3 linked regions of the Sus scrofa genome follow. The main gene of each other region encodes a partner of the protein of the gene in region 3 in a complex. Links are inferred from orthologs where the notes say so. Each region holds a gene or a part of one and is shown on either strand. Other genes may lie near its edges.

Region 1 (4,073 bases), on a different chromosome or scaffold from region 3:
ATCACAATGAGATACCACCTTACATCTATCAGGAAGGCCACTATTTAAATAAGAAAATAAGTTTGAGGAAGATGTGGAGAAACTGAAATCCTGCTGGTGGGACTGTAAGATGATGTAGCTGCTATGAAGGACAGTGTAAAGATTTCTCAAAAAACTAAACAAAGAGTTGCCTCATGATCCCGCAAACCTATTTCTGGCTATATAGCCAAAATAATTCAAAGCAGAATCTCAAAGAAATGTTCATTACAACATTATTTACAATAATGAAGAGATAGAAGCAACCCAAATGTCAGTAACAGATGAATGGATAACAAAAATGTGGTTCATACACTACTATTACACAACCTTAAGGATAGGAAATTCTATCATATTCTACAACATGGATAAGCCTTGAGGCCATTACACTAAATGAAATAAACCAGTCATAAAAGGACAATTACTCATGAGGTATCTAAAGGAGTCAAATCAGGAGTTCCTGTTGTGGCTCAGCAGGTTAAGGACCTGAAGTTGTCCCTGTAAGGATGTGGGTTCAATCCTTGGCCTGGCTCAGTGGCTTAAGAATCCAGTGTTGCCACAAGCTGCAGCATAGGTCACAGATGTGGCTTGGACCTGATGTTGCCATGGCTGTGGTTAGGCCTGTAGCTGCAGCTCTGATCCAGCCCCTGGCCTGGGAACTTCCATATGCTGCAGAAGCTACCACAAAAAGAAAAAATAAATGAAGCAGTCAAATAATAGACTGTAGAAATGTGATTGTTCTTATAGGAGAAAGGAGGGAGGGAAATTCTATTCCATATGCTGGGGTTCCAAAACTGTTTGAATCATACAGTTCTTCAAAAGGTGTAACGGAAAATCTGGATCCTCTGAGGATTGAATCCTTTGCATATATACTAAAGTCATGTGGAGTACATCTTTTATAAGTTTTTATTTTATTTACACCTAAAAAAATCAGTTCAATATCAGATCTAGTTTAGGTAACTATTCTCAAAGTGCCAGCTATGTCATTTTTGAGGCTTGAGAAAGAAACATTGAATTCTGACATATATGCTTCAGCTCATGACAGGTCTTTGGCTACTTGGATCAACTACATATAAGATATACAATATATTGCCCCAATCTGAGGACACAGAGAGACACAAACGTGTCTGAAAATTCTAATAGAAACAGCTGGTGAATTCGACTCCTCTACATACACTATTTATTCACATGAGATCATAATTTCCATTCCTCTTAGAATCCAGCCACCTGATGGAAGAATGTGAGGAAAAAACAGTATTACAGAAAAATTAGGCCAAGATAAAATTAGCCTAAAATTGCCAAAGAAAACTCAGATGGTCCATGAGACAGTCAATATTGAGTGGGAACAATTCTGAGAGGTGGAGTTCCCTTGGGTGCAGCAGGTTAGGGATCCTGCATTGTCACTGTGGCACTTTGGGTCACTGCTGTGACTCGGGTTCATTTCCTGGTCTGGGAACTTCCGCATGCTCTGGGAGTGGCCCATTAAAAAAAAACTGTGAGGGGAAAACGCCCCTTAGGTCCTGAAAATAAAAGTTTCCGCCCTTTAAAAACTGCTATTTCGTTAAGAGAATCTTCTTGAACATGAAAGTCAGGCTTCTGATATTTATTTGGTAAGTAGGTTAAACATTCAAGCATTTTTCCCTACTGGTTCTAAAAACTGTCTCATTTCTTTAAAAAAGTTTAAAGCTAAAATTTTAAATGGTAAGACAGTAAAGTGATGTAGAATAAGAAAAGTACTTTATTCAGTGTGGATTGATCATTTTTTCAGTTTCATTCATAATAATAGTTAAAAAAAATCTGTTCTTGAGTATTTTTTATGTTCCATTTAAATAGTTAGGTTCAAGGGGAAAATGTTAAATTTAAAAACTAATGTTATTAAAAGTTTACATTTCTTATAAATTTAAATGTGTATATATATTTGCTCTTTCATATGAACCACTCAAAACAATTTTAAAAACTGTTCTTTTCTATATTTAAAATTGCCCTTTTAAATATTTATGAGTTCCACAGGCGGTGGCTTTAAGGGAATTTTTCCCAAAGTGAATTTCTTAGATTGAAATTGTTCTAGTTCTTCCACTGTTAGTTGATCCTTGGGTGTGAATAATACATTATCTGTTGTGCCATGTGAGACTGGGAGAGAGGTGGATAGGCTGCTATTTCCAAAGGTGTCACTGGATGACTTGGAAAAAGCAGCATGAGAATGTGAGCCAGGACTACCAAAACCAGCCACAGAACTGCCACTTCCAAAGGCTGGGGCAACAGGGTCTGCTGCCATTGGAGCTGGAAATCCTGAAAATCCGGATGATCCAAAACCAGAAGCTGCAGGGGTTTTAAACGAAAATGAAGCAGCAGATGTGATTTCGGGCTTCCCAAGTCCAAAAGTTGGGGCAGAAGCGCTGATGGCAGAACTGGCAGAGGGTGTGGCTCCAAATGCCGGAGTACTCCCAAACACAGAAGGACTTCCAGAGGGGGCAGCAGCAAATGAAGACCTTGGTTTAAAACTAAAATTCTGAGCACTACAACTGCTGTTGCTATTCACTGGAAAACCTACAAAGAAACAGAAAAAAAAAATATTAGAAAAGGTAGCTATATGTCTATCCCATGCCTCCTTTTTTTTTCTTATTTCTGCCATGTTTAAATGATGAGAAACTTCCTGGAAGGAAGAAGAAAAACATGAAAATGAGAAGCCAGGACAAACCCACGAAACCCTGTGGTCTGTCTTTCTGCTACACTGATCTCATCTGTACTGTAATTTACCTTTACTCACAGAGACTGCTCTTGAGAAAACTCAGGGATGAGGGAGTGACTCTTCATTTCAGCTTGTCCCTCATGTCACTGGGTCTGTCACTTGAGGTCAAAATTCTGCTGTTACGTATAGGGACAAGAAAGTCCTCAAAGGTGCTACTATCATAGTAACGTATTACTATAAAACTCTTGAAAAACCATTCCTAAAATATACTTCTAAGCTAGAGGGTCTTTCAGAGAACATGCCCATTCCGGCCCCCATTTCACAAATGCTTGATGAGTCAAATTCTTTGAAGCTCTCTTATAGAAGGTGGTAGAATTTACAAGAGTGACTTGAAATGGCACTTAATCAACCTTCAGGCTTTATGATTTGAAACCTATAAAATCCTATTTTTAGAAATCAGTGAAGTCCTGCATTACTCCATCACTTACCTGGTGACCCAAATGTTACTGCCTGACTACTGCCAAATCCAAATGCAGGTGCTGCTTGCTTTACTCCATCTTTTACATCAGAGAGCTATTAAAAAAGAAAGAATATACACTTTATATAGCCAAATTAAATTTTTACAATGTGCACTTAAAAATGTGATGGTAAATGCTTAACAGAGAAAAATGCCCACAAATGAATACTCAGATAAAATATGGACCAGCTTCAATGAATTCAGAGTGATTATCTAGCTGATAAATTATGGATGGTTTTTATTTATGCTTTTAAAACATTTTCTGAATTTCTTTGATGAATACATATTAAAACATAAAGATACCTTTTATTTTATTTAATTTTTTGGCTGCACCTGTGGCATATGGTAGTTCCTGGGTCAGGGATGGAATCCACGCCATATCAGTGACCCAGGTAACTGCAGCAACAACACTAGATCCTTAATTTGCTGTACCACAAGAGAACTCCAAAAAAATAATTATTCTTTTTTTTTTTTTTAAACAGCTACACTTATGCCCTGGAAATTCCCAGGCTAGGGGTTGAATTGTAGCTGCAGCTACAGGCCTATGCCATGGCCACAGCAACACCAGATCTGAGCCACATCTGTGACCTACACTATAGCTGGCAGCAACTTAACCCACTGAGTGAGGTCAGGCATTGAACCCGCATCCTCACAGAGACAACATCGGGTCCTTAACCCACTGAACCACAAGGGAGCTCCCAGGAAAAAAAAATATATAATTTTTTTGTCTTTTTGCCATTTTTTTTGGCTGCTCCCATGGCATATGGAGGTTCCCAGGCTAGGGGTTGAATCGGAGTTGTAGCCGCCAGCCTACACCACAACCACTGCAACGTGGGATCCGAGCCGCATCTG
Region 2 (4,352 bases), on a different chromosome or scaffold from region 3:
TGGAAATGAATCTGATTAGGAACCATGAGGTTGCGTGTTTGATCCCTGGCCTTGCTCAGTGGGTTAAGGATCTGGCATTGCCATGAGCTGTGGTGTAGGTCACAGACATGGCTTGGATCCTGCATTGCTGTGGCTGTGGTATAGGCCAGCAACTATAGCTCTGATTCAGCCCCTAGTCTGGAAACCTCCATATGCTGCAGGTGCGGGCTTAAAAAAAAAAAGGTTTGCTTATTTATTTATTTTTGGCCACACCCGTAGCATGTGGATGTTCCCAGGCCAGGGACTGATTTCATGCACTACAGCAGCAACCCTAGTCACTGCAGTGACAATACTGGATCCTTAACCTGCTGCGCCACAAGAGAACTCCCAAAGAAGGTTTAGATCATCAGTCTTCTCCATTACAACCTGAGAGGATATGTCCAGGGGCAGATGGAGGTGATTCATTTCTTTTCCAGCCACAGGGAGAGAACCTGAGCCCCCAGCACTAAGTTGAGCTGGCCCAGAGGCTGGGGCCGGGGCCACACCCTTCATGGAGCTCCACCCCCCACAGGCCTCTCCCTCCTGCTGCTGCTGCTGCTGCTGCTGCTGCTGCTGCTGCTGCTGCTGCTGCTGCTGGTGCTACTCACATGGCAGAAGATCATGGCTTGAGCAATGGTGATGGCTCCGTACAGGTTACACAAGGCCTGGAACTTCTCGTCTCTGTTATTGCACAGGACATAATACTGCTTGATGGTGTCCAATGTCTCCTCCTCACGCTTCAGTTTGATGATATTTGGGTCTGGGACCACTTTCTGGGCAAACTTCCAGACAGAGTCTTCGAAGGTGGCAGAGAAAAGCAGCATCTGGCAGTTCCTGGGCAGCATCCTGCAAAGGAGGGCCCAGGTGTTGGGCATGACCCCGACCGAGCGTTTCTCTGGAAGGAACAGGAGCACAGCCTCCCCCAGCTTGGGGATCTACGTCCCCAGGAGGGTGGCACATCGAGGAGCAGGTGTGGGGCAGGGCCGGGTGGTGTTAGGAGTCCCCTAAGTCTCCTTCCTCAGCCCAGGCTGGGGGTATGGTCATTTCTGACATGGAAATGGGCCTCAAACCGGATGCCCCTGAAAGCAGTAAGCACCTAGCTGGAGCAAGAAGAGGAGTGTGAAGTGAAAGGAGAAGAGGCTGCAGATCAGGAGGCCGAGGAGAAGTTCCTCCTGGCCCAAGAGCTCCTACCTCTGGATGCGGATGCTCTGGTCTTGGTGGCCCTGAGTAGCTATCATCACGTCTGCCTCATCCAGAACAAACACCTTGATCTTCTTGGGGTCAATGAACTTGAGCTTGGAGCACCAGTCCAGAACGGTCCCAGGGGTGCCAATGACAATGTGCTCACTGATCTTCTGACCTCTTTCCACTGTGGAGACAAGATGTATTCTGTGAGTATTTCCATGACAAAGCCAGCTCTCCTCCCTGAGCAATTCTGAAGCTATGTTTTTTTGTTTGTTTGTTTGTTTTGGTCTTTTTATCTTTTCTAGGGCCGAGTGTGCGGCATATGGAGGTTTCCAGGCTAGGGGTTGAATCAGAGCTGTAGCCACTGGCCTATATCACAGCCATAACAACGAGGGTCCGAGCCGCATCTTCGACATACACCACAGCTCATGGCAACGCTGGATCCTTAACCCCACTGAGTGAGGCCAGGGATTGAACTCGCAACCTCATGGTTCCTCGTTGGATTTGTTAACCACTGAGCCACGACGGGAACTCCCTAAAGCTATGATGTTTTTTAATGCAATTTGGCTGATGTTTGCATTAATATTTTAAGGAAAGGTTGGGACAGCACTACAGTATTTAATGGACATAACTTAGAAAAAACAGTAATGCTGACAAGATATAGCAATGGTATAAATAATTAGGTGAAAACCTCTTCGGTGGTATTCTTTTACATTCTCTATAATCATCAATCCTCTCAAAGATTTCTTATCTTTATTTCTTCTCTGTCAACGTCATCCTCCCTAGCCTGGGTATGCATTTCCTTACAAGTAGACCTCTTTAAAGTTCTTCTCACTCCAGTGTACTTTGCCCTTCAGTTCTCCCAGCATCTATGTCAAGTAAGTCAGTTGCCTTTGTGTGCCCCTTGCCCAGATCAGTAAATAAGATTCTTATGAAAGGTTATTTTTCTCTTTTCAAAGATACAAACTGCCTCTCTTATAGTGCTTTCCCAGATTGGGCCTGGCATATCATGGCACATTCTTGGTCCTGTGCAGCTTGCAACTGAAATTTGGCTCATTTTGAGTTAGAGGGTACTCATTAATTCAATTTTTTGTCCTTTAATCACAGTAAAACCTTAACCAGATACATAGAAGCTCCCTCTAGTCACAGCCAAAATTTTGCCCTAAAGTAAATGTTGAGTCAATTTAAAGCTAAAAAATGCTTTTTTACTTCAGTTAACAAACCAATTACTGCCCTCTGCAGACAAATAAATAATCAGAATCCTCTGCCATTCGAACTCAAATCTGAATTTTTTTTTTTTTTTTTTTTTTTTTTTTTTTTTTTGTGGCTACACCACAGCATGGGGAAGTTCCCAGCCCAGGAATAGAACCTGTGCCATAGCAGTGACAGTGGTGGATCTTTAACCTCCTAGGCCACCAGGGAACTCCCAAATTGCAGTATTTCACATGCTTTATGATGATTTTAAACTAAGTTTTATTATCTTATTTACTTTTCTCTCCGGAACTGCCTTAAGTTGGCATTAAGACACTGTACTGAGTGGACTTCTGACAGTCATCAAGTCATAGGTTTGTGTTAAAGATCCATAGGACTAAGCCAAGATTCCAACAAACTTTAACTTACTTAAGTATTGTTCAAAAAATATATAGTTAGCTTGCTGTGTGAAACATGCAAAAGCAGAAAGGATAGATAAAGAAAAAGTAATAAAAATATCTCCCAGAGTTAATTGCCATGAATACTCTAAAACACTTTTTGTTCTTACAATGACATTAAAAAAATTAGGCAATTAAACATCCAGAATTGGGAGCATTTTATAAGCAGTTAGTTTGGTCTGTTCAAAAAGTCAAATGTAGCGGAGTAGGTGGATGTGAGGGGATTATTCTAGACTGAAAGAGACTTAAAAACCAAATACAATGCATATACACTGACTAAGTCTTGGTTCAACAAAAAAGTCATAAAGGGAGTTCTCTGGTGACCTAGTGGGTTAAGAATCCAAGTTGTCACTGCTGTGGTGCAGTTCTGAAGGTTTGATCCCTGGCCTGGGAATTTCTGCAGGCCATAGGACTGGCCAAAAAAAAAAAAAAAAAAAAAAGCCTAAAGAAACACTTCTGGGACTCTGGGACAATTAGGGGGACATGAAAACAGAATAGAAGAGAATATGTTAATCTTTTCTTGGTTGTAATAAGGGTTTTGTGGGTATGCTGAAGAATGTTCTTATTATGAAACGCATACTAAAGTATTTAGGGGTAAAGAGCCACAATATCTACAATTTATTTTCACATCGTTCACCAAAAATATACACACCCATATACAAAAGCAAATATGGCAGAATGTTAACATTTTTTTTCATTTTTTTAAATTTTATTGAAGTATAGTTGATTTACAATGTTGTGATAATTTCTGCTGTACAACAAAGTGATTCAGTTATACATATATACACATCCATTCCTTTCATAACTTTTCGAATCTAGGTGGACACATGTTCATTGTATTATTTCAGTTACTGAGTATATTTTGAAAATTTTCAAATTAAAAAGTTATTAACTTAATTAGGATCTTATATTCATACTCACATTTATTGCCACGAACAGCATAAGCTAGCTTCAGTTCAGGGTAAAATTTGCCCATCTGCTCAATCACTTTCCCCGTTTGAAGGGCAAGCTCATAAGTTGGGGAAAGGCACAGACACTGGTAGGGAAAGAGTACAGAGAGAGAATTCAAGACACTTGCGCTCCTGCAATGGGAAATTACCAGTAGGCCTTAACTATTCCTGCGGCTGAGGCTGAAGGAAAGAATTTTTTTTTTTTTTTTTTTTTTTTTTTGTCTTTTTGTTGTTGTTGTTGTTGCTATTTCTTGGGCCGCTCCCGCTGCATATGGAGGTTCCCAGGCTAGGGGTCCAATCAGAGCTGTAGCCACCGGCCTACGCCAGAGCCACAGCAACGCGGGATCCGAGCCGCGTCTGCAACCTACACCACAGCTCACGGCAACACCGGATCGTTAACCCACTGAGCAAGGGCAGGGACCGAACCCGAAACTTCATGGTTCCTAGTTGGATTCGTTAACCACTGTGCCACGACGGGAACTCCAGGAAAGAATAAAGTGAACACTATTTGACTCTTTAAGCTACAAAGTAATAAGCTACAATTCTCAAG
Region 3 (5,015 bases):
CAGTCTTGTCCCCTCTTGGCCACTCTGACCCAAGTCCAGAACTCCAGACAATTCCTGTGTCCTTAAAAGCAGTGGGTCCCACTTGGGCCTCTGGATGTCACCATCAGAACCTCTCTCCACCCCAATTTAGGAAACGTTTGTAGTTTCTAGCTTTTTATTTTACCGAGGAAGGTCCCTGAAATAACTACCACCAGCTACCATTGCCACGAAACCAGGCCTGTGGTCACACACTTAATGTCAATGGACTTGTACTTCGTATCGTGTATGAAAGATCTTAAGAGACCGTTGTGGCTTCCTGCTGCAGCGCAGTGGGTTAAGAAATGACCACATAGAATTCCTGTCGTGGCTCGGTGGTAACAAATCTGACTGGGATCCATGAGGATGCGGGTTCGATCCCTGGCCTCGCTTAGTGGGTGAAGGATCCGGCATTACCATGAATTGTTGTGTAAGTCACAGATGAGGTTCAGATCCCAAGTTGCTGTGGCTGTGGTGTGGGCCAGTAGCTGCAGCTTTGCTTCAGCCCCTAGCCTGGGAACTTTCATATGCTGCGGTACAGCCCTAAAGAGCCAAAAATGAATAATTAAACAAATCTGACTACAGTAGCTCATGTCGCTGTGGATTAAGGTGCAGTGGGTTAAGGAACTGGCGTTGCTTCAGCTGTGACATAGGTGGGGCTTGGATTCCATCCCTGGCCTGGGAATTTCCATATGCCATGGGTGCAGCCAAAAAAAAAAAAAAAAAAAAAGACAGTTGGCAAACTCACACCCATGTGTATTCATTTCTGTATAACTCATGACTCTTATTTTTGTCAAACTAATGGAAACCTCTTCAGTACAGAGCTCTGCTGTGGGTGATGCTGGTGTGGGAAACACCCCCCTTGGGGGCCATTGCTGGAATTCTCCCAACAACGTTCTATTTTTCTTTGTAAAATACTGTATGACAAAAAGCCCAGAGTGTTTTTGATAAATGAAAAATGTTTCTATTGCTTCAGACTCCAGAGCGTTTTCCTTTCTGCCTCAACTGAGATCCCATGAAATGGGGAAAAGAGTCAAAAGTTCAAGTGTCCCTATTTAAAGCTGGCCTCCGGCAACGGTGAATCATTTGTTGAGGTAGAATTCACGTAACATAAAATGCATTCTTTTCAAGTGCATGATCCAGCGGTTTTTCGTATATTCAAAGTTGTGCAACCACCACCTTTATCTAATTCTTGAACATTTTCATCACCCATAAGTGAATCCCGTACCTGTTAGCATCCACTCCCCATTCCCGTCCTCCCAGCCCCTGGCAACCACTAATAAAGTCCCTATGTCTTTTTGGCTTTGTCACTTTGCCCATTTCACATAAATCACAATATGGTGACTGTCTCCTTTCACTTATAGTGTTTTCAAGGTTTCATGTTGTAGGCGTGTATTCGTACTTGATTTTTGTGGCCCAATATTCCATTGTGTGGATACACCATATCTTATTGACTCATCAGTTGATAGGCACTTGAGCTTCCATCTTTTGGCAATTGTACATCATGCTGCTACCAATATTCTACGTTCTTTGTGGACACGTAGCTTTTGGGTATATACGAAGCTGAACTGCCGGGTCAATGTTAACTCTTTAACCTTCTGACCAAGTGCTAGACTGTTTTCCACAGGAGTTGCCCCCTTTTAGACCCCCATCGGCAGTGTCTGAGGGTTCCAATGCCTCTGCATTCCTCATCACCACCTATTCAGTTTTCTGCAAGCTCAAAGGGCCGGCCTTCGAAGGCCTTCGGTCTACCCAGCTCCCTGGAACGCAGCGACAGTCCAGAGCCGAGCTCCGTGCGCAAGCGCGTCAGTGGGCGGGCTCGGCGCAGGGGGCGGGGCCATGCGGACGTTAGGGGCGGGGTTGCAGTGCGCAGCTGCGTGCGCGCCCCGGAAGCGGAAGCGAGCACCCGTTTCCGGGCGGCTGATTCGAGGAGTTGTTTTGTCTCCGGCGGCACCTGTGAGGAGCTGCTTCGAGGCAGGCCATGCCTTCGGAAGGTCGCTGCTGGGAGACCCTGCAGGCGCTGCGCAGTTCGGGCAAAGGTCGCCTGTGCTACCACCGCGACTGGCTGCTGCGGGGCGAGGTGAGCAATGGCCCAGAGGCGCGTCACGGGACGCTGCTTCTTTGTAACAACCAGCCGTTGACTCCTGAGTGCGCCTCACCCTGCCTTGGCGTTTCTGCCTTCTCCCGCCTGGTTTGGCTTTTCGGGGAGCCCCTATTCAGAGGTGCCCTTCTCTGGAGGTTTCAGTGCTCTCCTCCAGGCCGGAGTCAGGCGCCCCTGCCTCTTAGGGTCAGCGAATTTACTGCGCGTCTCTTCCGTTGGGAGATCCAGATTTAGCGGTGAAAGGTTAATGTGACCTAACCTATTGCTCCCAATGAAAAGACCAGATTTTTAGATGACATTGGGCAGACCTGGAAAGTGTAATGGGGGCGTGGTCCGTGCACCTGGGATTTGCAAAGCCCTGTACTGTAGACAGTTAAGGCTCAGCTCTTCTTCCCGAGTTGCTGGTAATCTAGGTACAGACGTGACGTTTGTCTCTTCAGGCTTAAATGTGTCAGTTCTAAAGCATTTCCTTGTTATGTCTTTGACAGTTTTAAAGAATACATACTTTATATAGCATGAATCCCAGCACGAGTCTGTTTGGTGTAGACTCAGGTTATGCGTTCTTGGCAGGAATACCACAGAAATGATGCTGTGTTCTCAGTAAGTCACATGAATAGGTCACATCAGTAACACACAGGTGCTTCATTCCAGCCCAGCACTGGTGATGGCACTGACCTTGATCACATGGTCACACTGGTATCTGCCAGATACCAATCCACTTGAAAATCATTTTTCCCTTTGTAATTGATTACTGTTTTGTGGGGGGGTATTCCAAGATTAGACCAATATATTTTTTTTCTCATCAAACCTCCACCCTTAGCGTTTATTGACGACTTCTGCATGAATTAGTCTCTTCTGTGATGTAGCCAAATGGTGTTTCTTTATGTCTACCATTCCTTATACATATTGTAAGGAAGTGCTTTCGTTTCTCCCGTTTAATTATTTATATCACTATCCTCACGGGTTCCTGTTTTATTCAGTGAGTTATGATCCATTACTTGTAACCTTGTATGTGTATTTCCGTCTTTTATTTTTATTTTTTTGGTCTTTTTAGGGCCGCACTCATGGCATATGGAGGTTCCCAGGCTAGGGGTCCAATCAGAGCTACAGCTGCCGGCGTACACCACAGCCACAGCCACGTCAGATGTGAGCTGTATCTTCAACCTACACCACAGCTCATGGCAATGCCAGATCCTTAACCCTCTGAGCGAGGCCAGGGATTGAACCTACATCTTCATGGATGCTAGTCAGCTTCGTTAACCACTGAGCCATGACGGGAACGCTTGTATTTCCACCTTGTGTGAAGTATTGTCTTCAGGATAAATGCTAGAAGTGAGATGCTGAGTCAGAAGGTAGGCATAGATGTAGTTTTATTATTTATTGCCACGTTCTCTCTGGGTATATTGTTTGTCTTCCAGTTAGCAGTGCATGATCATGCCTGTTTGCCCACGGCCTTGTCAGCAGAATGTATCGTTTTATTTTTTTTGCCTGTCTCATAGGTAAGAATGAGATTGCAGTGTGGTTTTACAGTATGTTTTTATCTTGATTGAGATCAAACATTTTTTCTATATTCAAGCACCAATTTTATATCTTTACTTGCAAATTTCAAGTTTATATATTTTGCTCCTTTTTTTACTGGGGTTTTGGTATTTCCCCCCAAAATTTTTTTTCTTTTTTTTCTTTTTAGGGCTGTACCTACAGCATATGGAAGTTCCTGGACTAGGGGTTGAATCGGAGCCGTAGCTGCTGGCCTGTGCCATAGCCACAGCAACCCAGGATCTGAGCCACATTTGCAACTTACATCACAGATTGCAGCAATGCTGGATCCTTAACCTATTGAGCAATCCAGGGATCAAACCTGAATCCTCACGGACACTATGTTGGGGTCTTAACCCACTGAGCCACAACGGGAACTCCAGTGGCGTTTTTTGTATATATGGTTTTTATTTTCTACATTTGAAGCTCTGGTCCTGAAATTTATTTTGGTGTAAAGAATGAGTAACGAGGAGTTTCCGCTGTGACACAGTGAGTTAAGAATCCGACTGCAGTGGTTCAGGTCGCCGAGGAGGTATGGATGTGATCCCTGGCCCTGCCCACTCGGTTAAAGGATCCAGCGGTGCCACAGCTGGGGCTCGGATTCAGTCCCTGGGCCTCAAACGTCCATGTGCTGCAGGTGTGGCCAGTTAAAAAAAAAAAAGAAAAAAAAACAAGTAAAGCGTTGTTGCCTCACCGTTATTTCCAGTATGTCTTTATCTTCGTGTGTTTGTGTGTATTTATTTATTTAGGCGTTGGGTTTTCAACAAAACATGTAGTGGATTATAAGGACAAAATTCTTTTTTTTTTTGTCTTTTTGCCATTTCTTGGGCCGCTTCCTGTGGCATATGGAGGTTTCCAGGCTAGGGGTCTAATCAGAGCTGTAGCCACCGGCCCACGCCAGAGCCACAGCAATGCGGGATCCGAGCCGCGTCTGCAACACCACAGCTCATGGCAACGCTGGGTCCTTAACCCACTGAGCAAGGGCAGGGACCGAACCCGCAACCTCATGGTTCCTAGTGGGATTCGTTAACCACTGCGCCACGACGGGAACTCCCCAAAATTCTTTTTGATTGCTTAGATCAGGTGACATGAAAGTTGAGCTTAACTCTCTTCTTCCCTCTAGGATGTTTTAGAAGAATGCATGTCTCTTCCCAAGCTGTCTTCTTACTCTGGGTGGGTGGTAGATCATGTCCTACCTCACATGCAAGAGAACCCTCCTCCTTCCGAGACTTCAGCATCCCCTAGATCTACTTCAGCCCTCGACCAACCTTCGTTTGTTCCCACGTCTCCCATAAGAGACCGTGCCTTCTCATCAGCCTCCTCAGCAACGGCGAATGGAACCGAGGTGAGGCTTTCGGTGGCT

The links. Proteins that work in one complex are often made in the same cells at the same time.
Region 1: the proteins of GLE1 (region 3) and NUPL2 are in contact, whole or in part, in a crystal structure (PDB 6B4I), measured with the Homo sapiens proteins. The link is inferred for Sus scrofa from reciprocal best matches to the Homo sapiens genes GLE1 and NUP42. Residues at the interface, in NP_001003722.1 of Homo sapiens: Ile385, Ile593, Leu598, Asn599, Trp602, Arg603, Ala606, Gln607, Leu609, Asn610, Gln636, Tyr637, Gln638, Val639, Gln640, Lys643, Met644, Ile646, Leu647, Glu650, Asp651, Tyr652; in NP_001357375.1 of Homo sapiens: Asp185, Asn186, Val187, Leu188, Phe189, Gln202, Phe203, Gln204, Ser205, Lys206, Lys207, Phe208, Leu210, Gly211, Lys212, Ile213, Pro214, Leu215, Lys216, Pro217, Pro218, Leu222, Leu223, Asn224, Val225.
Region 2: the proteins of GLE1 (region 3) and DDX19B are in contact, whole or in part, in a crystal structure (PDB 6B4J), measured with the Homo sapiens proteins. The link is inferred for Sus scrofa from reciprocal best matches to the Homo sapiens genes GLE1 and DDX19B. Residues at the interface, in NP_001003722.1 of Homo sapiens: Lys416, Lys419, Met420, Gln423, Lys424, Thr427, Ile428, Ser431, Gln432, Ile433, Ser434, Thr435, Ile436, Lys440, Gln458, Ser459, Gly460, Lys479, Lys483, Lys486, Gln487, Glu490, Glu491, Ser494, His495, Gln554, Gln562, Asn565; in NP_009173.1 of Homo sapiens: Cys325, Asn326, Tyr328, Gly329, Ala330, Ile331, Thr332, Ile333, Ala334, Glu356, Gly357, His358, Gln359, Arg378, Arg380, Glu381, Gly382, Lys383, Glu384, Lys385, Glu400, Gln401, Ser403, Phe433, Gly434, Lys435, Arg436, Asp469, Asp470, Leu471.

What each region holds. Positions count from the first base shown.
Region 1 is NC_010451.4:91,998,631-92,002,703, reverse strand, and holds the end of NUPL2 (nucleoporin-like protein 2), read right to left. Parts: intron 3,278-4,073; coding exon 3,193-3,277; intron 2,563-3,192; coding exon 2,003-2,562; 3' UTR 906-2,002; downstream 1-905.
Region 2 is NC_010448.4:13,348,294-13,352,645, reverse strand, and holds part of DDX19B (ATP-dependent RNA helicase DDX19B), read right to left. Parts: intron 3,889-4,352; coding exon 3,774-3,888; intron 1,388-3,773; coding exon 1,210-1,387; intron 865-1,209; coding exon 627-864; intron 1-626. UniProt on the Homo sapiens protein: ATP-dependent RNA helicase involved in mRNA export from the nucleus.
Region 3 is NC_010443.5:268,892,405-268,897,419, forward strand, and holds the start of GLE1 (nucleoporin GLE1), read left to right. Parts: upstream 1-1,876; 5' UTR 1,877-1,996; coding exon 1,997-2,095; intron 2,096-4,775; coding exon 4,776-4,997; intron 4,998-5,015. UniProt on the Homo sapiens protein: Required for the export of mRNAs containing poly(A) tails from the nucleus into the cytoplasm. May be involved in the terminal step of the mRNA transport through the nuclear pore complex (NPC).